Oryctolagus cuniculus: one gene and its partners. The protein of the gene in region 3 purifies or fractionates together with the protein of the main gene of each other region. This does not show direct contact. Links are inferred from orthologs where the notes say so. Each region holds a gene or a part of one and is shown on either strand. Other genes may lie near its edges. The genes, in order: MOV10, RPS3, HNRNPA1, MEPCE, NCBP1, NGRN and DHX30.

Evidence for each region.
Region 1: the proteins of HNRNPA1 (region 3) and MOV10 purify together in Homo sapiens (affinity purification with mass spectrometry; 3 studies listed by BioGRID and IntAct, counting the BioPlex papers as one, with this or other methods). This does not show direct contact. The link is inferred for Oryctolagus cuniculus from reciprocal best matches to the Homo sapiens genes HNRNPA1 and MOV10.
Region 2: the proteins of HNRNPA1 (region 3) and RPS3 fractionate together in Homo sapiens (co-fractionation; 3 studies listed by BioGRID and IntAct, with this or other methods). This does not show direct contact. The link is inferred for Oryctolagus cuniculus from reciprocal best matches to the Homo sapiens genes HNRNPA1 and RPS3.
Region 4: the proteins of HNRNPA1 (region 3) and MEPCE purify together in Homo sapiens (affinity purification with mass spectrometry; 3 studies listed by BioGRID and IntAct, counting the BioPlex papers as one, with this or other methods). This does not show direct contact. The link is inferred for Oryctolagus cuniculus from reciprocal best matches to the Homo sapiens genes HNRNPA1 and MEPCE.
Region 5: the proteins of HNRNPA1 (region 3) and NCBP1 purify together in Homo sapiens (affinity purification with western blotting; 4 studies listed by BioGRID and IntAct, with this or other methods). This does not show direct contact. The link is inferred for Oryctolagus cuniculus from reciprocal best matches to the Homo sapiens genes HNRNPA1 and NCBP1.
Region 6: the proteins of HNRNPA1 (region 3) and NGRN purify together in Homo sapiens (affinity purification with mass spectrometry; 3 studies listed by BioGRID and IntAct, counting the BioPlex papers as one, with this or other methods). This does not show direct contact. The link is inferred for Oryctolagus cuniculus from reciprocal best matches to the Homo sapiens genes HNRNPA1 and NGRN.
Region 7: the proteins of HNRNPA1 (region 3) and DHX30 purify together in Homo sapiens (affinity purification with mass spectrometry; 3 studies listed by BioGRID and IntAct, with this or other methods). This does not show direct contact. The link is inferred for Oryctolagus cuniculus from reciprocal best matches to the Homo sapiens genes HNRNPA1 and DHX30.

What each region holds. Positions count from the first base shown.
Region 1 is NC_091438.1:57,646,062-57,650,003, forward strand, and holds the start of MOV10 (helicase MOV-10), read right to left. Parts: upstream 2,801-3,942; 5' UTR 2,662-2,800; intron 2,635-2,661; exon of another isoform or gene 2,550-2,634; intron 2,539-2,549; exon of another isoform or gene 2,450-2,538; intron 2,332-2,449; 5' UTR 2,267-2,331; coding exon 2,130-2,266; intron 1-2,129.
Region 2 is NC_091432.1:66,517,568-66,521,638, reverse strand, and holds the start of RPS3 (small ribosomal subunit protein uS3), read right to left. Parts: upstream 2,801-4,071; 5' UTR 2,702-2,800; coding exon 2,672-2,701; intron 1,988-2,671; exon of another isoform or gene 1,841-1,987; intron 1,712-1,840; coding exon 1,581-1,711; intron 1,305-1,580; coding exon 1,211-1,304; intron 565-1,210; coding exon 470-564; intron 1-469. UniProt on the Homo sapiens protein: Component of the small ribosomal subunit. The ribosome is a large ribonucleoprotein complex responsible for the synthesis of proteins in the cell. Has endonuclease activity and plays a role in repair of damaged DNA.
Region 3 is NC_091442.1:57,215,737-57,220,029, reverse strand, and holds the start of HNRNPA1 (heterogeneous nuclear ribonucleoprotein A1), read right to left. Parts: upstream 2,801-4,293; 5' UTR 2,675-2,800; coding exon 2,660-2,674; intron 2,098-2,659; coding exon 1,981-2,097; intron 1,758-1,980; coding exon 1,611-1,757; intron 1,477-1,610; coding exon 1,266-1,476; intron 1,176-1,265; coding exon 1,083-1,175; intron 1,005-1,082; coding exon 912-1,004; intron 642-911; coding exon 567-641; intron 359-566; coding exon 206-358; intron 1-205. Other genes in the region: CBX5 (chromobox protein homolog 5), read left to right, coding at 3,153-3,470. UniProt on the Homo sapiens protein: Involved in the packaging of pre-mRNA into hnRNP particles, transport of poly(A) mRNA from the nucleus to the cytoplasm and modulation of splice site selection.
Region 4 is NC_091450.1:42,641,034-42,645,239, reverse strand, and holds the start of MEPCE (7SK snRNA methylphosphate capping enzyme), read right to left. Parts: upstream 2,801-4,206; 5' UTR 2,656-2,800; coding exon 1,012-2,655; intron 1-1,011. UniProt on the Homo sapiens protein: S-adenosyl-L-methionine-dependent methyltransferase that adds a methylphosphate cap at the 5'-end of 7SK snRNA (7SK RNA), leading to stabilize it.
Region 5 is NC_091432.1:201,466,212-201,469,711, reverse strand, and holds part of NCBP1 (nuclear cap-binding protein subunit 1), read right to left. Parts: intron 3,341-3,500; coding exon 3,238-3,340; intron 2,158-3,237; coding exon 2,064-2,157; intron 1,400-2,063; coding exon 1,296-1,399; intron 1-1,295. UniProt on the Homo sapiens protein: Component of the cap-binding complex (CBC), which binds cotranscriptionally to the 5'-cap of pre-mRNAs and is involved in various processes such as pre-mRNA splicing, translation regulation, nonsense-mediated mRNA decay, RNA-mediated gene silencing (RNAi) by microRNAs (miRNAs) and mRNA export.
Region 6 is NC_091443.1:100,254,896-100,257,598, reverse strand, and holds the end of NGRN (neugrin), read right to left. Parts: intron 1,464-2,703; coding exon 887-1,463; 3' UTR 501-886; downstream 1-500. UniProt on the Homo sapiens protein: Plays an essential role in mitochondrial ribosome biogenesis.
Region 7 is NC_091441.1:101,031,415-101,034,430, forward strand, and holds the end of DHX30 (ATP-dependent RNA helicase DHX30), read right to left. Parts: intron 2,951-3,016; coding exon 2,775-2,950; intron 2,574-2,774; coding exon 2,367-2,573; intron 2,264-2,366; coding exon 2,182-2,263; intron 2,116-2,181; coding exon 1,922-2,115; intron 1,795-1,921; coding exon 1,635-1,794; intron 1,503-1,634; coding exon 1,345-1,502; intron 1,249-1,344; coding exon 1,145-1,248; intron 1,067-1,144; coding exon 927-1,066; intron 826-926; coding exon 572-825; 3' UTR 501-571; downstream 1-500.

The DNA of each region.
Region 1 (3,942 bases), on a different chromosome or scaffold from region 3:
ACTAATTCCCAAGAGGAGGATGAGGACTGATTTCACAGCACTGTAGCCTGGTCTGAAAGGCTGCATGGTGAAGGTGGCCCCAAGCCAGTCTCCTCCACCTGGTGGGAGTGGCATGACAACAGAACCTACTTCTGCCTGCTGGAGAGACACCATGAGTCTTCTTCAGTGATAACTACCTCATCCTCTCTCATTTTTCAAGTCAAACATGTCTCAGATTCGTTGACAGAATATGAAGCCCACACAGAGACTTTTCCTCCTCCCCCACATACTAAAAAATGTTCTCTCCTTCAAGGCCAAGGTCAACATCACTTTCTCCTTCACATTCCTCATAATTACAGGGGACTGGCTTTTTTTTTTTTTGTATAAAAACACAAGCTCATACAGTAAAAACTACCTTTGAGAATCCCTAATTCATCGGTAATGGATAGCATACGTGGTTTTCTGTATGCAATCCAAAATGGACAGGTTCTCTCCAGCACTGAAACACGCTGTGCACCTTGGTTCAGAAGTGACAAAGACTCCTTGACTAAACTTCAGCCAGGCTCCTCTGAGCTCTCTTCGCAAGGCCTTGCCCTTGGCTCCCTATACCCTTTAGTCTTAGGCCTGTCTAGCTCAGTGTTTAGCAAGAGGATGCTTCCTCTTACTAATATTCTACATTAGAATATCGGCTAGAAGTCCTCGGGTATCTTTGCTGTACTGAGTTGAGTTCGAGCTCCCTCCTCTAAATGAAGCAGTCCTATTACAACAGTATTCAATAAAGTCCTCCTTACCATTTTAACAAGTATCAGAATAACTTTTTCAACAACAGTGGCTGATGTGTTCAGAGCTATGCTGTGCTCTGTGGACACTAAGTGGTGAGTGTGTGTACATGGAGCATTGACAGGATGTGCTCCAACACTAAGTGCTCTCTCTGTACTTCCCACCAGCATCTTTCTTATTACCTTATTACAATCCTTGTGTTTTACCAAGCACAGTATTTTGCATACACTCTCCCCTGGGTGTGCACAATTTTCCGTCTTTATCATTCATGGTGTAGTGGCACAAAATAGGTCATCAACTTTGAACCTTCTTCAGATGGTGGCTCAAGCCAGTCGATGTGCCTCTCACAATGTGACACCCATGACCCAAAACAACATTCAAGATAGAATCTGGTGGTCAACCGGGAAAGTCACCACCTCCTTCTCCCACCGGGAACTGCCCGTCTATTCACTCCACCTGCGTTCACCTTAGCAGCCAGCCCTGGCCTTTTGGTGTGAGGACACCCAAGACCTTGTGCAGGAGACCTGTGATCCAGCCCCAGTTCCCACCACCCCGCATTTATCTGCACACACGTCTTCACATTTATCCCTATTAAACTGTTGCTTGGTTTCTTGCCGGAGGCAGCAGCCTGTTGATAGAGGTGATTTTTGAAGCACAAATCTGCGGTTTGATATAAGTCTCTTTGATTTGCACTTTAGTGGTAAAGACAACAGGAGACCAAACAGCGTTCAGCCACAGGGGGAAGGGGGCCTCCAGGAAGCTGTTCCTGGCCCTGGGTCTCCATGGAGAAGCCACAGGTGCTAATGGGCGGTTGCTACATACGCAGTTTGTGCCCTTCGCTTCTTTCTAGAGCGCCCCGAGATTCTCTTCGCCTACACTGGGCCTCCTCAGCTCTCCCAGATAGCGGACACTTAAAGCAGCAGCACTGCAACAAGGGGGCCGGGGTCTCCATGCAGCCTGCGCCAGAGCTAGCGGCCCCCAGCAGGCAGCTCCTTGCCCGCGCTCCTGAGATGCCTGGGCCCCCCTCTGGAGGCTCCCTTCCCCCACTGCAAGAGCTGTCCCCCAGCCCCCCGCGAGCGGTGCGTGGGCACAGACCCCGCTCCCAGGCTGGGGTCAACAGCCTTGGAGGCTCTCTGCGGAGACGCGGCAAGGGGCCCCCCCGGCGCGGGCAGATCGGGCGGACTCCGGGAGGCGCTGGCGGGGCGTGGGCACGGCGGCGGAGGGGAGGGCTGCGCCGCCCCAGGACGGGCCCAAGCCGCTGGGGGAGCTGCGTCTCTCCGAGCCCCGGGTCGGGAAGGGTGGTCCCGACGCGGGGGTCGTGGCGGCTAGCTGGGCCCGCGCTCCGGAGCTGGAGGTGGGCCGGCTCGTACCTGATCTTGAAGTCGCGGTTATAAATGGTCCGCAGCCGCTCGCGATCTGTCTCCATGTCCAGTCCCCGAACGACCAGGAAACTCTCGAAGGATTGGCCCGTCTCCCGGAGCTGCCTGCAGCTGAACTTGCTGGGCATCGCGGCGGTGGCTGCGGCCCAAGCAGGAGGGTCCGTGGAAATGAAACTGAAAGTCGCCGCCGAGGCTGGAAGTTGGCGGCCCTGGGGTGAGGATGCAGCGGAGGGAAGCGCCCCCCACTCGGACCCCAGAGTCCGCAGGCTCCCTTCTTCCCACCAGGCTTCCCTCCACCGTTCTTTTCCTACCTGAGCCTTCCCTTCGGTCTCTTCGTCCTATCCCCTCCCCCCTCTTCGCATTAACTCTTTCCTAAGGAGTCTGACCCCTCCCTCAGGGCCCTCCCCTTACCCTGAGCTCCCTCCCCTGGCCTCCAGCCAGTATAAAAACGTGGCTACCGCCTGGGGCCCCCTGAACCGCCCAAGGACCTCCGCACCACAGCCAGGGCGACTCCCACGCTCACCCTGCTGAGCCTCGGGGCTTATTGGAAAGCTGGGGAGCAAAGGGCGGGACAGGGGCCTGGGTCAGCTGTAGCCAGACTTGGGCAGCTAGTCCAGCACCTCCCCCAGACTGCGAAGGACAGAAACCCTGGAAGAAAGCGGGCTGCACGCCCCCTCCCCCATTTTCCTTTCAGACGGAAGGAGGAAGGCAAGAGTCAAGAAGTTTGGGAGAAAGAACTAAGTGTCTCGGAGATAGAGGTGTGTACGTGTGGGAGGGAGGGACGAGGGGCCCCGCCAGGACCCAGTCTGCAGAGTGGTTACTTTCTCCCGCGCACAGGCTTCTTTATTGTGGAAAGGCTGCTGAGACCTAGCCTTGAGCTACATATTTGGGCACTTAACTGCACTCCAATTATGCAGTGCTCTTTTACTGTTAATAAGTGAGTTGCCCCAGTCATCAAAATACTAGCTTCTTGAGAGCAAGGGACTGCTAGGTTAGGCAGTAAATGGTTAACAGCCACAGCATCAGCACCAGGAAGAGACCTGCAGGCTTCCAAAGAAACCCCAAGGGGGTGGGGCTACCACAAAAACAAACAGAACCAGGGTTTTGCATGTTTGTTCTTCAGAAGGAACAAACAAAAACACAGTAGAATGGGACAAAGATGGGTAGTATTTTTAAAATGTTTAGGTCGAATCTACCAGAATTCCAAGTAGATCACAGCTAAGTGTTCTCCGAAGCACATCCCTATAGGCGGCCACACACCCTTGTAAGCTGGTGGGAGGGATGGCCAGCACCTAGGACGCTCCAGCTGGGCTACCTCCTCCTGCCTTCCTTGCCACCAACCAACTGGTCAGGAGAGGACAGTGGGACCCAAAGCTCCAGGAAAACAGAGCACAGGGAAACCTGATGTCCTAGAAATTGATCATCCCAGGTAGAGGGAGAAATGGGGACTGTAGCCAAAATATTTTACCACTTTTCTCCCCCAGTTACTCGACGAGGTTCCAGAGAGGAGGAGTTCCTACAAAATTCTTTCACTTACACTTCCAAAAATGTACCATCCACTATACCAAAGCATTTGGATTGCAAATCCATGTTCCCATTATTCCTAAACATATACCCTGCCCCCCTTCTCTAGTGAAACCGATCTCCTCATGGCTGCAAAACACATAAACAGCTGTAGTATAGTAAAAACCTGAAAATGCCATGCACAATGTAACTTCTCTAGACTAGTTTCATCTAGACTAGAAAAGCTACTTCACAGGGCAACCTAATTTTTACTCTCATACGTTCTGTTCTGTTCTAGAAG
Region 2 (4,071 bases), on a different chromosome or scaffold from region 3:
GCATAGCCCACCACATTAAGTATCTGGATTTTAAGCTCTCTCATCAGGACTGCTTTCGCGTTTATGGTGCCAATAAGAGTGAAAATCTCAACCGATCAAGTGTCTTCTATCTTGTTCTGACTTTCGGGGCACCCCACAAATTACCAGTAACAGGCTGACTTGCCCACCTCCCAGAAGACACTTAAATCTCATCCAGAGACCAAGGAGAATTGGTCCCCTCCCTGAGCACCTGTTTCTGCTCTCTTCCCAAGCACCTAGAACACCTGTCCACCTTTTCTCATTTTTCTTCTTCAGTCTTCTTAGCCTGCAGCCAGCAAAGGCATGGATTAACAGTACTGTGTTGCTGGAACCCTCAGAGGCTAGCAGAAGCTGTCACTCAACACAAGTTCATTTGTGAAACCAGCAAAGAGCACACACCACATTCTGATGCACACAGAAGGGCATGACCACCAGGCGGCACGACACTTACCTGCGTACAGCAAGCCCTCCTAGGAGTTTGTAACGCAGAGACTCTGCCTGGGCAATGGCACATAGGCCCCTCGTGGCCACCTTTTCAGCGTAAAGCTTTAAAGGAAGCAAAGCACACCCTGTTACCTTCACCCTTGTTTTCAATTCAAAGTCAGCACACTCATTTCTTTCCCCACACCATCACAGGAGGGTACCTCAAAGGGTTTGTGGAAAACGGAACTCAAAGCTAAGTTTATTTCAGTGCAATGTACGTATGACCAAGTCTTCAAAGAGCTCAGGAACAAGAATCATGAAAAAAGCCAGATTTCAAATTTTGGAGGGGCATTAAAATAAGTATCTCTTAATTCCATTCTTCCATAAACCTTTTACATTTTATCACAATAGTATCCCTCAAGTCCAAAAGCACTCCTGCCCACACCCAGGACAGACACAAGCAGACCAAGCCTCACTGCCCCACCTCTGGCTCCTCCTACAGCTACACCAGGGAGACCAATGGCACAGTGCATCCACTTTGTGTCACCTGCACATTCAGGTGGTGTGTAACATCATCATCCACCAGAAATGAGCACACAGGGCTGTAAAACCAAACCCACTGCCCACTGAGAACCTCAACCAATGCCAATCCCACCATAACACTCACTGAGCCTGAGCAGGTCTCCATGGTGAATAAGGGATTTCAGAAGCACCACTCTAAAGAGCCATTGACGTCCACTTAACCTCTGGCATGAGCCAGACCACTCACCTCTACGCTGCCCTCTGGGAAGCCAAACCTCTTCTGAACGACGGCAGTCAGTTCCCGGATTCGCCGGCCTTTCTCACCGAGCACATTCTGTGTCCTGGGCAAGAAAGAGACCACTGATGACGCGCCCAAGATCCTACATGAACTGTGAATTGTGCCTATTATGCATGGTACTAAAGCCCCACTTATCTGCCACAACACAAATACAAATTCTACATGACAGAAATTATTGTTCAATTTTTAAAATGCCGCTTTAAACAATCACATTCACTAACGCCAAATTCACTTGACCGTACCCTTAAAATTTATACAGAGTGATTTCCTTAGTGTATACAACTAGAGATCACTACCCTCCAGTCAAGTGATACTTTACCTGGTGGCTAAAATAATGATTTCTGTCCTGGTTGGTGTAACTCGGACCTCAACTCCAGAGTAGCCATCTTCAGCCAGCTCCCGGGTGAGAAACTCGTTCAGCTCAGCTTTGAAGATGCCGTCAGCAACAAACTAACCAAAAAAGCAAGTTCAGAATTAAAGGAGGGGCTGGCTCACTTCCCTCTGGACCAGTCTAGTCTATCAGACGCCAAGACATCCTTCATCAGAACTCAGTACCTGTGCCAACAGGGATGCTGCAACCCTTCTCAGACAAATGCCTCTTGGTCATCTTGGGGCTGTTGCTTCCACCAGGGCCCTTTCCAGGGTGCCACAGAACGCAGCACGGCGGAAGACCCCCGGGGAGAGCCAGCACCCCCGGTCAGACTCGTCATCACCTCTTCACCGAAGGGCCTCAGATCCTCCACTTCGCGCAGCAGGCACACTGTTCTACCTTGTCACAGGAGCAGGCGTGGGTCAGAGCGGTCTCACCTGCACCCAGCCAGGCACCCTGCCTTACCTTGTGTACCTGTGGGCTTACAGACAGCGGAGCTGCCAACCCTAGCTGCTGCGGAATTTTAACAACGATGTACACACGCAGAATGGCAAACTATGGATGCCTAAAGCTAGCGATTTTGACACGACATGACTTCGAAGTTAAACCCGAGGGAGCTTCCTGCCCCAACGGGACAAGTGAGACCTGTACTGTCGGAAGGCGGCACCCAGGCACCCGTACGGCGGGCAAGACGACGCTGCTCTCTGCCCTTCCCAAAGCCATGGGTCAAGAAGCGAGAGAAACGGCTCACGCCCCTCAAACTACTACACAGTCACTAGATTTGTTGACCAAGACAGGCTCCCCGGAACAGGTGGGGCGCCCCAGGCTCACCGCTGCACTCTTTCCAGCCGGCCACCCAGCGGCCGCCCGCCTCGGGCCTCGCATTCAATCCGCCGCCATCCGCGGCCCGCGGCCACACCACGCACTCTATGCCACTGCCCAAGGACGGGAATGGAGCTCGGCGTCTCGCGGAGGCGACCCGAGAAGTCCCCGACCCGCGCAGCACCGCAGTTCCCTAGATCCCAGCTCCAGATGCTCACCTTCCTCTTCTTAGAAATCTGCACCGCCATCTTGCCGCCGCGCGCAGCCGAAAGGAAAGGAAGTGGCTCGCGGACGGAAATGGGTATAAACGGCTCGGCGCGACGTCGAAAAGCGGCGCGACGTCGACGCCTGCGGGCGCTCATGGGAAATGTAGTTTTAATGCAAAAAGGCCGCAAAGGAGCGAGAAGAGCGAAGGAGTTACCTGTAGTAAGAAACAGGAACTGCAAGGGGACTTAGAGTCCCTTTCTCTAGTTTTGAAAAGGACGGAGAGGCTCAGAGTTTCAGCAAGAGTTTAGGCAGCGTGGAACCCTGGTTCCCACACTTTCAGGTCGATACTAACGAGTATCTACGAGAGCTCCCATTCTCCCCAGTCTCTGTCCATTTCCTCCCTTCCCAATGATAATACCTACTACGTGTTAACGTCCTAGGAACTATTCTGTGCTCTTTATGCACCACTTGCATAAAAGCTGTTACAACCTATAGCAGACTCAGGGTTCTGGCTCACGTGCGCACAATTCTACATTTAACTTCGGCACTAAAATAACTCTGATGCAAATGACTGGTCCTTTCATCATGAGATTATAATAAAGTGGAGTTCCGTGGGAGCTAAGCAGAGGGCCAGGGAAGGGAAAAGAAGTGGATGGGGGCAGGCATTTTAGCCTAGACCCTAAGTCGTACACATCCCACATGGGAGTGGCTCGATTTGATACCTGGCTCCAGGTTCCTGCTGATGAAGACTCTGGGAGGCAGCAGCCATGGTTCCAATGACTGGTTCCGTCCACCCACCTGGGAGAGCCGGATTGAGTCCCCAGCTCCTGGCTTTGGCAGGCCCAGGCATTTGGAGAATGAACTGGTGGATAGGAGCCCTCTCAGTGTCTGTCTGTCTGTCTCTCTCTCTCTCTCTGAGAGACAAACACACTCATAAAGAAAAAGAGGATGAACCAAAGACACAGCTGGGACCCCGACATGTCTTAATGATGGATTGAGGTTGAGGGGGGAAATTGAGGTGGTGCCTGGTTTCTGGCTTCCACGGTGGCCGCCTCGTGACAGCCCTCACTGAGACAAGGAGCTGGAGAGCAGGGTTCTTCCTCATCGGCTCCATGGTCTGCTGAACGCGGCCCTGGTCAGTCCCCCCGCCTGACTTCTCTAGGGACATGGGCAAGCAGCAGGGCACCCGCCCGTGAGTGCAGGGTCAGAGGAAAGTCCCCGGGGCCCACTGCAGTCAGGCTCCTGTCCTTCTAGATGACCTGCTTTGCGCCCTCATCCCCGTGGGCCTCTCCTCCTCCCAGTGTCCACTCTGATCTGCGTCAGAGCTTGAACCCCACTCGCAGGAGTCCCCCCGCCCCGCCTCACCCCTTGACCATACAAATGATACTGGCAAGAGCTGCTCCCTCCCACT
Region 3 (4,293 bases):
TACCCGCTTAGCATCTACTTATTTGGGAGTGAGGCGGCCCCAGCTTAAAGCTAGGAGGAGGTAGCACAGCAAGCTCATTTCCTTTTAATATACCATGCAGTGTACCACACAATGCTTTAAGAGCTTCCAATCGCAATATGGGCATTAAAATGCTAAAACACTAATCTAGCTATCAGACCAAGTACTTGGATCACTCGATACCTACCACTACCACCGCCAAAGCCGCCTCCGCCGTTGTTATAGCTGTCATAGCTGCCACTCCCGCCATAGCCACTGCCCTGGTTTCCATAACCCTGTCCACCACTTCCATAGCCTCTGCTTCCTCCAGAGTAACCAGGGCCGCCTCCTCCATAACCACCTATAAGAATACAATTCTTCTCAATAAGACAAAAGTATTTAACAATCAAAATCGGTTCAAGTGTAATGGCTAAAGGCCTGCGCAAAGCATGCTTATTATGGGTTCAGTTGAGCTTATCATGCACTAGCAGTTAACAGTTTCTATCATCCTAATCTAGTAACACAAGTTGCCAGAAACATTTTTACCTATGTATTCTTTAAAGACTTACCGTCATTACCAAATCCATTGTAACCATCCCCACTGCCACCATAACCACCTCCACCGCGGCTGCCGCCGAAGCCACCTGGAAGAAAGCAAACACGTGCAGCAGGTTTAGAGCATATGAATTGCGTGGTACGCTCTGGAAGCGCTCCCTGCACTGTGACAACGATTGGCACACCGGAGTAACTTCTGGTTAGTTACAGGCCAGAGCTGCATTTTAGATAAAACTTAACTTCGGAAACGTAGGCCATTTGTTATATGCTACTACAGGTTACAGAAAAAAAAGGGACAAGTCATCTAGGGTCAAGAAACCACAAGCTCTCTAGAGTTAACCTTAGCTAACCATACATACCACGACCACTGAAGTTTCCTCCACGACCAAAGTTGTCATTGCCACCAAAACCACCTCCACGACCACCACCAAAGTTTCCAGAACCACTTCGACCTTGAGAGATAAGTGTTAAACCATACAGATTGGAAAAACTCAAAGTTACCTTAACGTCCGACTAAGCAATAGACATACCTCTCGGGGTGGACGAAGCGCTGGCCATCTCCTGCTTCGACAGGGCCTTCCTCACTTCACAGTTGTGGCCGTTCACAGTGTGGTATTTCTGAACTGAAATTTGATGACAAACAGCCCGGGGTTAGAGTGGAATGCCACGTGCGTTGCAGAAAGCCCGCAAAGTGCCTGGGATCTGATACTCACTGACAATCTTATCCACGGAGTCATGGTCGTCGAAGGTCACAAAAGCAAAGCCCCTCTTCTTGCCACTGCCTCGATCAGTCATGATCTCAATCACCTCGATTTTCCCGTACTGCTCAAAGTAATCTCGGAGGTGATGCTCTTCAGTGTCTTCTTTAATGCCACCCACGAAGATCTTTTTCACAGTGAGGTGGGCACCTGGTCTTTGGGAATCCTACCGAGCCGAGAACCACGAGTTACTCTAAATGGCAAAATCTGTGTCCTTTATCAAGTACTTGAAAGGGTCCAGATGGCTCCCCAATGGCAAGCCTATTACCACAACCGATGGGGGTTTGGGGGCCCACTTACTTCTCTCGACACAGCCCTCTTTGGTTCCACAACTCTTCCATCCACTTTGTGTGGCCTTGCGTTCATGGCCGCATCCACCTCCTCCACGGTGGCGTAGGTGACAAACCCAAAGCCCCTGGAGCGCTTGGTGTTCGGGTCTCTCATTACCTGGAGACAGCGTTAATTTGCTTATTACAAGGCCCGGGCCCGTAGGAGGTTATAGGGCGGTCCTCCTGTTCCCCGCTCCCGCAACTTCCAAAAAGCAGGCCGAAGAGCCACAAACGAGCCATTCCTAACTCAGAACTCAGGCCCCGTTAGGATCTTAAGCCCTCGCACAGAATCTGCAGGAACAGCCGCCGACGCCCCGCCTCCCGGCCCTCCCCAGTCTTACCACGCAGTCCGTGAGCGTGCCCCATTGCTCAAAATGGCTCCTCAGGCTCTCATCGGTCGTCTCAAAGCTCAGCCCTCCGATGAAGAGCTTCCGCAGCTGCTCGGGCTCCTTGGGCGACTGGGCGGGAGAGCAAAATTGGTTTTTCTCTTGTAAATTCGGGCTACCACACGACCCCGTTTCCACGCGGGGGGTGGGGAACACAACTCGGCCCCCACAAAGGCGGCACTTTTTGTTCGCTCCGGTCCAAAGCGGGCCACGTGCTCCCCCTCATCAGGGGAGGCGGCCCGTTGGGGGCTGGGGAGCCTCCAGCGCATGCGCCGCTCCGCTCCCTCCAGACGCACGCGCGCAACAAAAGGTCCGCGCGGGAGGGGGACATCGCCGTGAGGGGCATCAAGGCTTTTTTAAAACCCGCTCGCCGGGACAAAATTGAACCTAAATCGCCATATGGCTAACGATTTTGCCCCGACGCCGACCCCGGAGTGATTATCGAGGGGCTAGCGGCCCGCAACCTCATGGCGACGACGAGGACAAAATGGCGACTTGAACTTTGGGAGGGGTAGGCCTTGGCCGCGACCGAGCAAACTGCCGAAAAGGTTGCTGCGGGCAAAGAAACCGCCCCTACTGGACTCGAAGAGGGAGACGAGGGGGAGAACTACGTTAGAAAAGGGGAGCTCCTCACCTCTGACTTCGACATGACGGCGGTGGGAAGAGAGAACTCGACGATGCTTCCTCGGCGGCGTCCGCAAGCAGAAAGGAGTAAGCCAACGAACGTATCCGCCAGCCTACCTTCGGCCTCGCTTTTTTATCCCGCCTCCTCGCTTTCGACATTGGCAGACTCCACCCCTGCCTCGCTCTGATTGGACATTTGAAATCGCTTCCCTCTACTATTGGTGTATGGCGCCGCACTGCTGCGTACGTCACCGTTAGGGCGTTCTGCGCAGTCTCCACCCCTCGGACCCCATTGGTCCTCGAGCAATCTTATTCTTAGCCAGCCTGATTGGCTAACTGAACAATCATTCATTTTTGAACGTACTTCGCCTGTCTAAACGTTTTTTTTTCATTCTACTAGTCCAAATTATATATCCTATTTGTTTGGTAAAGCATTATTAACACCAAGCAGCAGAAAAGTAGTTAGATGTGACGGTTTTTTTCAACAACCGCCTGTTGAGCGCATGTGTAGTAAAATGGCGATCTTGCGCATGCGCATTATAGAGTTCCGCTCGCCGCTTGAAACACGTGAAATGGCGGGCGGGAGAAGGCGGTTAACCTACGGCGCCTGCGTAGTGGCGGGAGTTGCGCGCTGCTTTGCGCAGGCGTTGTGGGCGGAGAAAGGGTCCGGGCCCAGGATTGGTTGCGCAGGCGCAGGGAAGGATCCGTTTTGGCGGGCGGTTGGCGTTGCGCAGAAGGCAGCAGCAGCGGTGGCTTGTGGTGCGGCCTCAGCACAGAGGAACGGGGCAGACGTTAGGGTGTGTGATCACTCTCGATCCCGGGTAAGTGGCAGAGAGTCTTGTCTACCTGTACAAGGCCTTGGACCGGCTCCAGTTGGGCCCGTTATTGTGTGAAATGAATGGACCGTGGGGTGGGGGGATAGTCAAGGGGCAGCGGTGGGTTGGGCCAACCAATAGAAGAACAGGGGGCGGGATATTCCATCCCTGTAGGTTGTGTGGAGCTGTGCCGCCGAGGCGTTTGACTGGCGCGTGTCTAGGCCAATTGGGTCTACCTCGAGCTGCCGACTGATCGGCCTTTGGGCCATCGGAATGTGGGAGGCGGGTTTTCCCTTCCTGAGCAGCGTCCCGCCGAGCCAATGAGCGCGAAGCGCGCGGTAGGTTGGGCTTCTCCGAGGGGCCGTGGGTTTGACTCCAGCGGGGAAGGCGGGAGTTGGGCCCTCAAGTGGATGGACCAAATCTGGAGCCAGTAGGCGGGCGGCCCAAGGAAGCCTCTCGGACAGGTCGTCCAATAGGCTCTCCAGGACGGGGAGGTCTTCGATTTGGTGGGAAAGGGTGGGGAGGAAGGAGATTCAATGGTCGTGATGGCGTGCGGGGGTGGGTTTTTCCCCCCTACGACTTCTGCGAAGCCCCCCGCCCGGTGCACCTCTTTGGTAGCGGAAGCGTAAATTTGGTCCTGGGTGCTGCAGCTTGGCATCGCTCTCCACGTCGGGGCATCCCAGCATCCACCACATTGAGTTTGGGGGAAACCCGAGCAGGGCTTTCGATTTAGAGAACTTGTTTTAGGAAGACGGACTGAGTGTTAGCGAATGAGAGAAATCACTGTGTACTGTACGGCAAGGCGACCTCAGGATGCCTGTTTCTGCGG
Region 4 (4,206 bases), on a different chromosome or scaffold from region 3:
GCCCTCTGCAAAGCCCATTCTTCAGGCTTAACTCAACCTACTGCCAAGTATTCCTGCAGATGGCCTAAAGTTTTTGATGGGGAGCAACACTCGCCAGGCATGGTCCAGTCCCGTGTAGGACTATGCTCTCCCTCTATCTAGGGTCAACATGGAGAAGAGGTAAAAGCCAAGTTGCTTGGGATCCTGACCACTGACAATCTTTAACCAACTCTACCTGGAGAAACAAAAAACAGCTGTTGTGGCAGTTAAGCCACCTCCTGCGGTGCTGGCATTCCATTCGCTGGTTGGAGTCCCAGCTGCTCCACTTCCAATCCACCTCCCTGCTAGTGCACCTGGGAAAGCAGCTGAATATGGCTCCCGTGCTTGGGCCCCTGCTACCTACACCCAAATGAAGCTCCTGGCTTTGGCCTGACAAAGCCCCAGCCGTTGCAGCCCCTGGGGGGGGGGGGAGGGCAGAGGGACCAGCGAATGGAAGATCTTTCTCTCTGCCTTTCAAATAAATAAATAAATCTTGGGGAAAAAAAAAAGGCAGCAGTTGCAAACAAGGTCCCAAGTGAAAGACAGAAACTATAAATATTAGCCTGCTACTGACCTCATCTCCCCCCAAGGCACTCCACGTCCGACACCCACCCCTCACACTGCTTCAGCAGGGCTGAGGTTCCATCTTAACAGAGTCTCCTAAGGATCAGCAGTGGCCCTCAAGGGAAGGTGGACTAGTCTGGATTAGCCCAGACCAGGCCAGGCACACAGCACTCCGTCAATCTCTCTCAGGCAAGAGATCTTCCAGTCTTGAGAAAGGACCCCGGGGTTAAAGACCCAAGGTAGAGGCCCCAACTGCTCCTTGCGGGAGACACACCCAAGGGAGAGTACAGACCCTAGAGAATCTGCTTCTCCTATCAAGGACTGAATGCGCGGAAATCTCACGGGGGGAGGGTCAAAACCTGCCCCTGCCACATTTAAGCTCATCTTCATACGTGGCCTCTACTCCAAGAGTCGCTCAGATCCTCTTACCGTGACGAAGACAACATTGTTGGGGAAGACGGATGAATCCGCTCCATCCAAGGGCACTTGGGGTGCAGCGATGGGACCCCGGCTGGCTGTCAGCGAGGCTGGGAAGTAGCCCCTCTTCCGGACGGTGGTAGTCCCTTCCTTCCCCTCTGCCCCGGGGTCTCCCTCCGAAGTCTGGGTTGGGAGCCGCAGCTCCTCGGACAGGTAGTGTCGGATGTTCTGGCGGGCAGAGTGGATGAGCTGGGAGTCGATATCCAGGCCCACCATGCGCGAGGGGCCCCACTTGCAGGCAATGCTCAGGGTCAGATGGCCCACGTTGCAGCCCAGGTCTAGGACGTCCCGGCCGCGAAACCACTCGGGCTTCAACACACGAAGGCGGCCGTCCTCACAGGAAGGATTGCGGTACCCATAGTACTCGCAATAATTCCCATACTGGAACTTGCGCTGCTGCTTTTTAAACGCTGCCGCAGGTGGCGGGTGGTGGCGGCCTCCCCAGCTCCCGCGGCCCCTCTCCTTAGGACCCTGGCCTCCACCCCTAGCCCCGGCCTCAGACTTGCTGGAAGTCCTGCGCCGTTTGCGATGCCGGGAGGAGGAAGACGAGGGTGCAGAGGTAACTGAGGCAGCGGGAGGGGCCGGAAGGGAGCCTGAGGGGCCCTGCAGGGCGGACGGAAGGGGAGACACGACCTCATCCCTGCAGTTGATGGCTGTGTTGAGTTCATAGGGCTGGGGGGCATCCCGGTTCTGGCCCCTCGGGCGCTGCTGCTGCGCGGCGCCCTCCCCGTGGAGTGAGGGGGTGAGGGGGGCGGTGGGCGGCACGGAGTGGCTGTCACTCCCTCCACCCGCCGCCGCCTGCTGCTGCTGCTGCTGGTGGTGCTGTCCCCGGTGTCTGTGCCGTTTCCGACCAGTCTTGAGCGGCGAAGCAAGAACTACTTGAGCCTCATCAGTGCAAGTGTTGAGACTGAGCGGGTCAGTGATATCTTTGGGGATGAGGATCTCCACTGGATCTCGGCCCTTGGCGGGCAGTGGGGATGACTTAGGGGTCTCCGCATTGAGTGCGCGGCTCACTTCCTCATCCAAAAGGCTATTGAGGTTCAGCGGATCGAAGATGTTGCCCCCGAGGAGGAAGTTGGAGGGCAACACGGAGTCACAGTCCGAATTTACCCGCCGGCGCCTCTTGAACGCCGGGTGCTTGAAGCCCCCACCGCCGCCCCCGACGTGGCAGCTGTTTCTCCTCTTGCCCCCGCCGCCCCCAGGGGGCCGGTGGGGCTGGTAGCCATTACGCGGCCGAGGAGGGGCAGGGGGGCCCAGCTCCGTCCCGCCCCCTCCCCGGCGCTCCTCCCCCACATCCGGGGGAGCGGCTCGCCCGTGGGGATCCGACACGCGGGCCTCCCCGTGCGGCTGCGCCCGGGGGCCGCCCTGAGGGGTGGCGGCGGCGCCGGGGCTCCCGCTGCCGGCTGCCGAGGCAGGGGCGTCCGCGGAGCGCGCGCTCCGGCCCGGGCCGCGCTCCGGCTCGCCGCGGGGCTCCCCGGAGGCGGCCTCTCGGGGTGGTGGCACCGTGGGGCCGCCCCCTCCGCCCGACTCCTCTTTGAGCGGCGGCGGCGGGGCCGGCACCAGAAACGGCTCCTTCTCCGCCGCCATCTCGATCATTTCCTCCCCTTACTCCGTCCCACTCGAGGGTAACGAGGTGGGGATCGGGGGCTTAGCCCCCCGCCCCCGCCTGGCTAGACCCCGCTCCCTTCCCCCTCCCGTTTCCCCGGGTGCGCGCGCAGCTCTGCTCGCCTCGCTGGGTCTCGCGCCCAAGCGCCTCCTCCCCCCCACCCTGAAGCGCGCCCCACTCGCCCGCGAGACCAAAACAAGATGCCCGCGAGACCCGAACAACTCGAGGAATCAACCGCGCGTGCGCCGACCCCTTTCTCCGCCACCACTACCGCTCGGCCGCGAGCGCGCACGGCGAGCGCGCGTTCCCCTAGCCCCGGGGCCACGCATGCGCACTCCGCCACCACCCTGGCTGCGCGCGCATCGGAGTACGAACCCAACTTAACGGCTCCCCGAGTTTAAATATAGCCCCCCCTCCTCGGCCCTCCCCCAGAAGCCCACCACCCCAAACTGACACCCTACTTCCCTACTGATATCCTTTGTCTCTGCCGCGCGACCCCACCCACCGAAGGCGGGGGACGGGGAGCTGGTGTGAAAAGGTCTCCTTGACACCCGACCCTTGTTCCTGAGGAATGAGTCTCAGCGGTCTCCGCCCGGCTCTAAACCCAACAACCTCCCTACCCCGCCTCCTTCCTCCCCCTAGCGGGCAGCGCCTGCGCACACGCTTTTGGGCTTGCGCGGGTCGAGGTAGCACGTGCTGGGCCGACGCCCCACCCCCGGCCTAGGGGCGGGGCCTGTACGTCGCTCCCTCAGGGTCGGCGCACGCAGCGTGCGTCAGCGCGACTCGGGCTCGGGGGCGGGCCTCATGAATTATTCACGAGTGCGCGCGCGCGCTCCTGGGCCCCGCTTTGCCCACCTGGTTAAGAGCTGAGCGCGCTGAGGGGGTGAATTGAGGAGTCGCGGAAGGGGAGAATGGGAGGCGCCCTGACCGTCCTCAGTACAATTCGATAGGTCATGTGAACTCACCCCCCTCGAAAATAACGCTCTGCTGAACTGGAAAAAAACAAAAAAAGGCACTAAGGAGAGCCGGTGTTGTTCAACTTCCTCTTCCCCTGAAATGGCTGAGTCGTTCTTTGGCTCCTCGGCGTTTGCCCCAATCGCGATCACCTGGGCACACCACGCCTTCCTGTCCGCCTCCACACCCACGGCCCTGACACCAAGTCCTCCGCCCGCCACACGGCGGCTGCGCGCGAGACCGCGGGCCCGCGGGGCCCCTCGCAGCCGCCGTGGCCGCCGCCAGCTCGCAAGCAGGCCTTCCCGGACGCACTCCGAGGCTTCGCGCCGCCTTATATAAAAGCGGGTGTGGGCGGGGAAGACGATTCGGCCCCTCTTTGGACTTCCAGCTTCGGCCAATGAGGAATGGAGCCGTTTCCCCAGGGTGATGGGTAGCTCGGTCTCCTTGCCAACAGGGAGAAAAGAAAGGGCTTCGGAGGCGGGAGTGGGTTTCAGGAGGATGTCAAATCCTAAAAAAATAACGGCTGGGAAGAAGAATAATGGGAGCACGAGAGAAGGCAGGGGAACGCAGAGGTAAAACAGTCAGCA
Region 5 (3,500 bases), on a different chromosome or scaffold from region 3:
TGCCACCTGCAGTGCAGGCATCCCATATGGGCATCGGTTCTAGTCCCGTTTGTTTCACTTCTGATCCAGCTCTCTGCTATGACCTGGGAAAGCAGTAGAAGATGGCCCAAGTCCTTGGGCCCCTTCACACGCCTGGGAGACCCGGAAGAAGCTCCTAGTTCCTGACTTTGGATGATACAGCTACGGCTGTTGTGGCCATCTGTGGAGTGAACCAGCAGATGAAGACCTCTCCTTTTCTCTCTGCCTAACTCTGCCTTTTAAAATAAAATATTAAAAAAAATCTGTGCACAAACTTTCAGTCTAAAATGCTAGAAGACAGGACAGACAGGCACAGCGCGTTCATCCTGAAGTGGGGGGAGAAGGTGGGGCAGAGTTAAGAGATACCTGAGAGTTCACAGAGCTCTTGCTCAACGACTTGATTCTAGGATGCCTGCCTGAGTCTGAATCCTGGCTCTGCACCGATCTGTGACTCTGGGAAAGCTGTGTAAACATTCTGTGACAATTTTCTTTAAAATGTGAACAGTGGAACCTCCTTTCACTCATGGTAATGGTTAACTTAACAGGATGGTCAGTTCTCAGTGCAACCCTGAGAATGCTTTCTGTTGTCTGCATTTGTGATCACCCACTGACTAGAGTGACGACCTCAGCTCACACCCCGTCACACCGAGGACTCAGGCCGTGTCAGACCAGTGTCCTCAAGTAATCGCAGTTACTGCGGAGAAGGTAGAAGCTCCGATAGATTTTTGTTTCTAAGTAACTCACTTTTGTACTGTTTTGTGTCATCTCCTGCTATCTCAGTCCCAACCAATTCTAAAGCCTGTGAAATTTCACAAATAAGAACCGAGTTAATGAGAAGTTCCTTCCCTTTAGGGGAACAGGTGTAGAATTATATCTGCATTATATCTAGGATTTTGTGGCCCAGATGCAAATGTGTCCAGCTTTCCTTGTCCCTGGCATGACTGATACACCCAAGCCCCATCTGGCCTAGCAGAGACGCCAACACACAGCCAGCTCTTCCACATCCTCCTTCCCAATAGTCCTCTGACAGCACTTCTACCTGACCGGCTTAGACCTGATTCAAATGAGTGTGACCCTAGGAGATGCTGCAACCTGATGGGCTATGGGTATTTCCATTGTCTAGAAATACCTATGAAGTCCAGTCCTACCAGATTGGACCATTAGGATATTGACACCACCTAGTTTGGACCAGAATTTTGAGTTCATGTTTAAGAGATAACACATAACATATGCCAATTCTTAGAGAATTAAAAACGTTGTAAAGTCAGTCCTATTACCTAATAAAATCACGAGACAGTTCTGAAGAAAAGATCCAATTTGCTACTGCAGCACAATCAACAATCTGTGTACGAATCATCTTATCCACCAGTACAGCAATCATCTGTAACGAGACAATTATTAGGGTAAACATTTTATGTATGCCAAAATAATACTGCTATAAAGTAAAACAGTGGGGCTATAACATTGCTTTTTAGTGGCTATGAAATTAATCAATTTGGCCAGTAGGTCTTCAGATTTATTTTGCTCCTTGCTTGGTTCTAGCACTATAAGAAATATTAACAAATTGGAGCCAGCGTTGTGGTGTAGCCTGAGATGCCCTCATCCCATATGGGCAATCAGTTCAAGTCCCAGCTGCTCCACTCCTGATCCAGCTCCTTGCTAATGGCCTGGGAAAAGCAGAAGATGGCCCAAGTGTTTGGGCCCCTGCTGCCCATGTGGGAGACCTGGGAGCTCCTGGCTTCAGCCTGGCCCAGCGCTGGCTGTTGCAGCCATCTGGGTGTGAACCGGTAGATGGAAGACCTCCCTCAAAATAACTAAATGGTAACACCTAAAATTTTAGATAATTCCTATACAAGTATATAACTTCAACTGAATACAACAGGTCAAAAATAATTTTATCATAAAAAGTCTTAACCGTCCTTTCAAACATTTCAATGCCTTTTAATAATACATAGAATTAAAAAATTGTTTTACAAACCAAAACAAAGGTAATTAGTTGCCTAATTTTTGTAGTCCTACAATGAGGGAGCCACAACATGGCTTACCTGCGGATGGTTCCTCCAAACCTCAAACATAACCCTCAGCACGTGTAACTTTCCTTCATCACTTTCTGCTAGTGTTTTGAAGACTTCGTGAAACCTTTAGACAACACAGGGAAAAGTGTCACATACACTCACTCCTTTTAATGTTTGCAAGGTTAATTTATAATATCTAAGTGCAAAATTACCAACTATTAGTCACTGAAGATATAAGAAAGTCATACTGTAAGCCCAAGACCTAGGGACAAGTTAACGTTAAGGAACTGTCTGCAAATCTGAAGTACCTGTTTTCATTCTCTGTGGGAACCCTGCAAGCAGTACAGAGCCTGGGGAGCTGGGAAGGAATGAGACGGCCAGCTCCCTTCCCTCCCACCGCGGCCGAGGCAGGATCCAGGATCTATAAGTTCCTTCTTTTGCTGAGCTATCTGGTGAGTTAGAAATCAGTCTTTAGATGCCAACCTCTGGGTGGCTCCCCAAAATGTAGCTGGCTCTCATTTCTGCTTCCCTTCCTTTCAGAGGATGCGTTAGCAGCACAGGAGCTATGGACTATATATACACGACTGTTCCAAGGGCCCGAGATTGCATTAGTTTCTCCAAATGTACGAAAAAGTATACATTCCATGTGTACACTGTACATATAGACTGACAGAAGCCAGGAAACAGAAATTTTAACTAAAACAAATCAAAACCCATTGTGTGGCCAGCGCCGTGGCTCAGTAGGCTAATCCTCCGCCTTGTGGCGCCGGCACACCGGGTTCTAGCCCCGGACGGGGCACCGGATTCTGTCCCAGTTGCCCCTCTTCCAGGCCAGCTCTCTGCTGTGGCCCGGGAGTGCAGTGGAGGATGGCCCAAGTGCTTGGGCCCTGCACCCGCATGGGAGACCAGGAGAAGCACCTGGCTCCTGGCTTCAGGTCAGCACAGCACGCCGGTCATAGCGGCCATTTGGGGAGTGAACCAACGGAAGGAAGACCTTTCTCTCTGTCTCTCTCTCTCTAACTCTGCCTGTCCAAAAAAAAAAAAAAAAAAAAAAAAAAAAAAAAAAAAAAAAACCATTGTGTGGAATCATATATTAAGATCTTCATATTAATCAATTTCAGGTTAAAAAAAAAATCAGTGTATCACTGAAGCTCAGCGAGTCCCAAGCCCCCAGAAAGGCTCCGTGCTGCTGCTGCTCACTTACTTGGCCAGGGCACTGAAGGAGTGGCTGAAGGACTTGGCTGCCAAGTGCAGCAGGGTCTGCACAAACACCTCTATTTTCAACGGGTTAAAACTGAATCCTTCATCTGAAAAATATTTCATAGCAAGTGAAAAAAAATGAGTACAGCAATTCCTTGGTGCCTCACCTAGAATGAATGCTCAAAACAAAACACTATGTCAGACATTTATATAACATCTTTTAGTATTAAAAAGAATAAAAGACCATTACTGATTTCAAATACGCAA
Region 6 (2,703 bases), on a different chromosome or scaffold from region 3:
TGCACCCAAGAAAGCAGAGGAAGATGGCTCAAGTACTTGAGCCCTAGCAACCTGTGTGGCACTTGGAGTAAGTTACTGGCTACTTGCTTCGGCCTGGCCCAGCCTGGGCTGTTGCTGCCATTAGGGGAGTGAGCCAGCAGATGGAAGATCTCTGGTTGTCCTGCCTTTCACACGCCAGGAAGGTAGCAGATAATGGCTCAAGTCCTTGGGTTCCTGCCACCTGCGCGGAGCTCTGGCTTTCTCCCTTTCACTTGGCCCAGCCCACTGTTACGGAGCCGGCAGATGGCTGATCTCTCAAATCCTTTCTCACAGATATCCTTAAAAAGGCAAACCACCACCAAAAGTACCCCACCCTCACCAAGCAGGGTGCTCTACAGAGCCCCCTCCTGGGGATTTCTCTCAGCCCAGCTGTCTCCCCATGGAATCCATCCCCCTCCTTTCCCATTTCCTGCTCTCCAAGGTTCAGAAACCTCACACCCCAGAGACCACGAGGCAACACAGACTGCTACGTTTTCACTTTATTTTTCTACACGTAAGGAAATAACCAATTGACCGGGCAGTTCCAGAACTGCTAGTGTTCACTCATCGACAAGGAAATGAGGTCAGAAGGCAAACTTTTCACCTCCTCCCTAATGTATATTGCACAAGAATCACAGAAGCTCCTAACACATGCAACACTGGCTTGCAACACAGAGCCCGGGCAAGAAGGGCGAGCATGGAGATTCACAGGGGGCGGACGGCGCAGTGCTCCGGACAGCTTCCCTCTACCCAGGCAGCTGCGGCTTCCACCGCCCACTTCCTCCATCGCAAGGTGCTGACCCACACGCAGAAAGCCAGGCAGTTCTGAAAACACCGGCCCACCTGTGCTTCACAAGGCAGACCCCGCTCAGATTCTGTACAGGAAGTTCCCATTGCTGTCAAAGAACTCCCGCCCCCTCTGCACTACTTTGCTGCTGAAGTTCTGGGCACCAGCTCCCCCCGCCTTCAAGTCTTCCAGCTTCCCGTCACTCGACGGCTGGCTCCCCTTTCTTCTGGGCCGCGTGCAGTCCCGAGTGGGGGACTTCGGAAGCTCCCTCTGCCGAGCCCAGGCTGCAGCTTCAGGCACCAAGCCCTCCTCCTGCGGGCCCTGGGGTCCTGGATTCCTTCCTTTTTGTCTCCTTGGTGAACCTGCACCAGGCGTGTTTGCGACTGCTCTCAGAGCTGTGCTGGGACTCTGACCTTTGGATGAGGCTTCATCTCCTGGCACCAGCAAAGCCCCTGACACAGAGTGGCCTGCAGGGAGCCGCGGCGGTGCGTGGGCGAGCCCAACTCGCTCAAGGACTTTCTGATCCTGCTTCAGTTTCTGTTCCAAGGAGGGTACAAATTTGCTTTTTAAAACCCTTCGGATCACATCAGTGCTGACATCAAAGCCTTCAGCCAACCTGGGAACTGACCAGGTCTCTGCAAACTCCTTATGCAGATACCTGTGGAAAAAAGGAGGTTTTCAAGTTGAGTGTCCTATTAGAATAGCTCTCGATAAGATTAGTGAGAAGCAAAAGGAGGGCTTGGGGGAACTACAGGTATTAGCACACTCTGTGCCAGTTAAATGGCTGTGTTCCATTCCCGCGTGCCATCAGCAACATCGCACCCCTCGTGGTGTCAGCTCAACACCTCCCACTGCTGTCTAACACCCACCTTAGATCCTGGGACGAAGGACTCCCCTTCCTTCCAGGGGCACACAGTTTAACACAGATGGCTGCATGGTGACTATTAGGCTGCAGGGAGAACACCAAAAGGGAAACCCAGGGGTGGGCAACCAAGTCACCAACAAACAGCCCGGACTAGGCCCTCATCAAGAAGTCCAAGCTAAAGCTGGTCTGCAGGGTTGAAAAGCAGTCATGTCAAGAGAGGGGAGGGGTGAGGAGGGAGGACAGCACGTGAAACGCCGATCAGCAGCTCTGCTGGGACTCGGCTCAAAGGCCAGGCAGGGGCAAGATCACCTTGCATTTAGGTGACGTGAGCCAGGGAAGGATTTCAGGCGGTGCAACCTCATGAGTAGCTTTCTATTCTCAAGCTCTCTCAGTGGTCGATTTACAGATCTCTGTCTCTCCCTCTCTCTGTACCTCTCCCTTTCAAATAAATAAATGAAATCTAAAATAAATGAATACACACACACACATATTTCCATCTGAAAGGCAGAGTCACAAAGAGGACAGAGTTAGTGAGAGAGACCTTCTGTAAGCTGTTTCACTCCCCAGATGGCTGCTTCTTCCAGGTGTCCCCTGTGAGCGCAGGGGCTCAAGGACTGGGGCCGTCAGCCGCTGCTTTCCCAGGTGCACCAGCAGGGAGCTGGATTAGAAGTGGAGCAGCCAGGTCTCCAATCCATGCCCAGACGGGATGCTGGCATGGCAGGCAGAGGCCCAACCTACTCCAGCTGGCCCCAAAGCAACTTATTTATAGTATGTTTCTTTTCATGAGCGAGACAGTGAAAATAATTCATATTTGGGGGGGCTGGCACTGTGGCATAGCAGGTTAAGCTGCTGCCTGTGGTGCTGGCATCCCATATGTGTGCTGGTTCAAGTCCCAGCTGCTCCACCTCCGATCTGGCTCACTGCTAATGCACCAGGGAAAGAAGCAGAGGATGGCCCTGGCCCTTGGGTCCCTGCACTCATGTGGGAGACCTGGGAGGGGCTCCTAGCGCGGGACTGGCCCAGCCCCAGTTGT
Region 7 (3,016 bases), on a different chromosome or scaffold from region 3:
ATGGCCCAGCCATTCCCCATGTCAACCTGACTCCACTGTAATGATTTCAAGAGTAAATAAAGCTGCCTGATGTCCCACCACACAGGCCTGTGCTCGTTTGTCTCCACCTCTGGCACCAGCGAAGACCTCAGCCAGCACTCAGACCCTCACCTGCGAATCCGTGGGTCCTACCGAGTTTGTAGCAGGGCGATGGCACGACCGGAGGGTTATAGTCCAGGCAGGCGAGTCCAGTGTCCAGGTTTGCAAAGGCAGTGATGGTTCTGACAGGCCACCTGTGGCGTTGGGGACTTAGGTGAGGCGCTGCGCCGAAGGCTGGGGCTGGCCTTCAGCGTAGCAGCACTGCAGGGTCAACTCCTGGGGGGTAGGGAGGACAGTCTAAACCACAACTCAGGGCTACCACAGGCCCTGTCCCCCAGGAAGACACTTCTGTCTCTCCCTTCATGCTTCCTCGATGTCGGGCAGCTGAGGCCCTGAGAGGAGCCCCTAGTGGGTAGCGATGCTCACAAGGGATAAATAGAACTTTATTTTAAATAAACATTTGCACTCTGTACACAGCCCCAGGGAGTGGGGCTCAGTCATCTGCTGTCTTGCGCACATCAAAGCTACCACAGGGTCCTCGCAGCAGCTCTGCCAGCAGTGCCAGCAGCTGCCCGTGCTCCTGCTGCACACTGGGGGGAAGCGCAGCCAGCTCACTGCGCAGGCTCCGCTCCACCATGCGGCCCAGGGCCCTGCGCAGCTCCCTCAGCAGCCGCACAGTGCGTGAGTCACCCTCCAGCCGCAGCAGGTCACTGTCACTCAGTGAGATGGTGGCACGGCGCCCATCATCTGGGGGAAGGGAAGAGACCGGAGAGAGCACAGTGAGGCTGGGCCCAAGGCCATGGCGCATCCCATGGAGCCGTGGGGCTGGGAAGTCTGCAGGTACCCACCGCGGATGTGCACGTCGCCATCGGTCAGCAGCAAGACAGCTAACGGGTGCACCTGGGAGGAGTCCCGGACAAAGACGCTGCCATTGGACTTGACTGCCATGAAATATGTCAGCCATCGGCTCCGTAACCTTGTGGCCTCCCTAGGGAATAGACGGCTGGGTTGAGGCTGTGCTTTGGGCCCTACCCAGCTGCCCAGTCCACTCCTGCCGGTCCCCAACCTGTTAATGGTTGACTTGTGCAGCAGGATGTTGCCTGATTTGGTCCTGTAAGTGACACTGTTGGGCTTGAACTTCCCCTGTCGGGTCACTTTGCCCTGCCTCACCTGCAGGGATGGAGAAAAGGATGGGTGAGGTCAGGGAAGGAGCTGAAGAAGGGAGGCAGCTGGGATATGGTCAGCTCCTGCCCCCAGAGGCTGCACCTGGATGAGGTTGGGATAGAGACCAGCCATCAGCACGCCCTTCACCAGCTCCTCTTCCGCACTGTACTCATTGCACTGGGCAGAGGGCAGCGTGCAGTCTGACGGCTTCCCCACCAGGAAAGCCTCGTAAATGTTCTCCGAGAACTGCTTGACGAGCCCTGTGGGAGCAAGTGCACCATGAACCAGGGCCCTCCAGCCACAAGGCTAGGGAACGACAGGAGTTAGTGTGGGTGGGCATGGGTGGGAGCAGGCAGGAGGGGCTGAGGAGCCCAGGTGTGGACCCCGCTGACCATGGATGAAGCGCAGGCTGGGTGCGTAGAGCAGGTTTTCCTCTAGGTAGTTCTCCCGGGAGCTGCGGTCCTGCCAACGCAGCACCTCCTCCCAGCCGGCTACAGCCCGCACAAAGGCCAAGTGGTCGCTGCCGCTGTCATGGCTCAGCAATGCCTTCACCTGGGTTAGGGGGGCGGGGGGAGTACCAGGGTCACAGGGAGGGGCTGGAGAAGGCCGCCTCAGACAGGATGTGGCTGGAAGGCTGGAAGGGGGAGCCAGGGGGCTGAGGGGAGGGACTGGGTCTGACCTTGTCCACCTCTGCCCGGTTCTGCAGGCTGCTGCTGAAAGGGTCCCGGGTGAGGCAGGAAACCACCACTAGCAGTGGGTGCAGGCAGCGGAAGATGGCAGCTAGTACGATAGCCTTGGCCAGCCGCGGGTCAGTAGAGATGTGGGCCAGACGCTGCCCCAAGGTGGTCAGGTACTCTCGCTGGTCCAGCACCCCTGCAATGGCTCAGCTGTCAGTCCCATCTGAGAGCCACCCCAGAGCCCAGCCCAGCTCCTACGCACCGATCTCCTGGAGCAAGATCACAGCCTCATCTACCGCCTTGATGTTTGGACTGTCCACAGCCTTCGAGAGGAACTCGACTGCCTACAGCAGGAATAAGCCAGAGCTCCCTGTGAGTCTGCAGCTCACCTGCCTGCTCCCAAGGCCAGCCCCATCCAGCCCCAGCCCCAGCCCCAGCCCCACGCACCGTCTTCTCAGGCATGTGGATCTTGGCTTGCAGCACCAGGTTCTCCAGAGGTGTGCGCAGGATCTCCGGCACTTGGAAAGGGACCATTTTCTCCAGCCGGCTCCGTGGGAACAAGTGGTAGGCAAAGCCTGATTGGCAGCGGCCTGCCCGGCCCCGACGCTGGATCACGTTTGCTCTCGACACCCACACAGTCTCCAAGCAGGACACCTGGGGGAAGAAGCAGGTGAGCAGCCACACGGACACCACAGGACTCCCCCCCCAACACACACCGCAGCAGGGACAGTCAAAGCCCACGAGCGTGGCCTTCTCCAGAGACAGAGCCGCTGTAAGGCAGGTCTGGACTGGGGGCCACCTTGGGATTGGAGTCCTTCCCCCGGGGTCTGGCTGGGCCCAGGAGATAGGTGCCACCTTGGTCTTCAGGTCGTAGCGTTCCTCCTTGTGCAGACCGCTGTCCACCACATGTACAATGTCATTGACCGTGATGGAGGTCTCGGCAATATTGGTGGCCAAGACAATCTTGCGCACCCCTGCTGGAGGCTGCTGGAATATGGCCTTCTGGTCCATCATGGGGATGTTGGAGTGCACTGGGGAGCAAGACACACACTGGTTATAGGCACACTCCTGCCAGAACCACCTCCTAGAATCGGGGC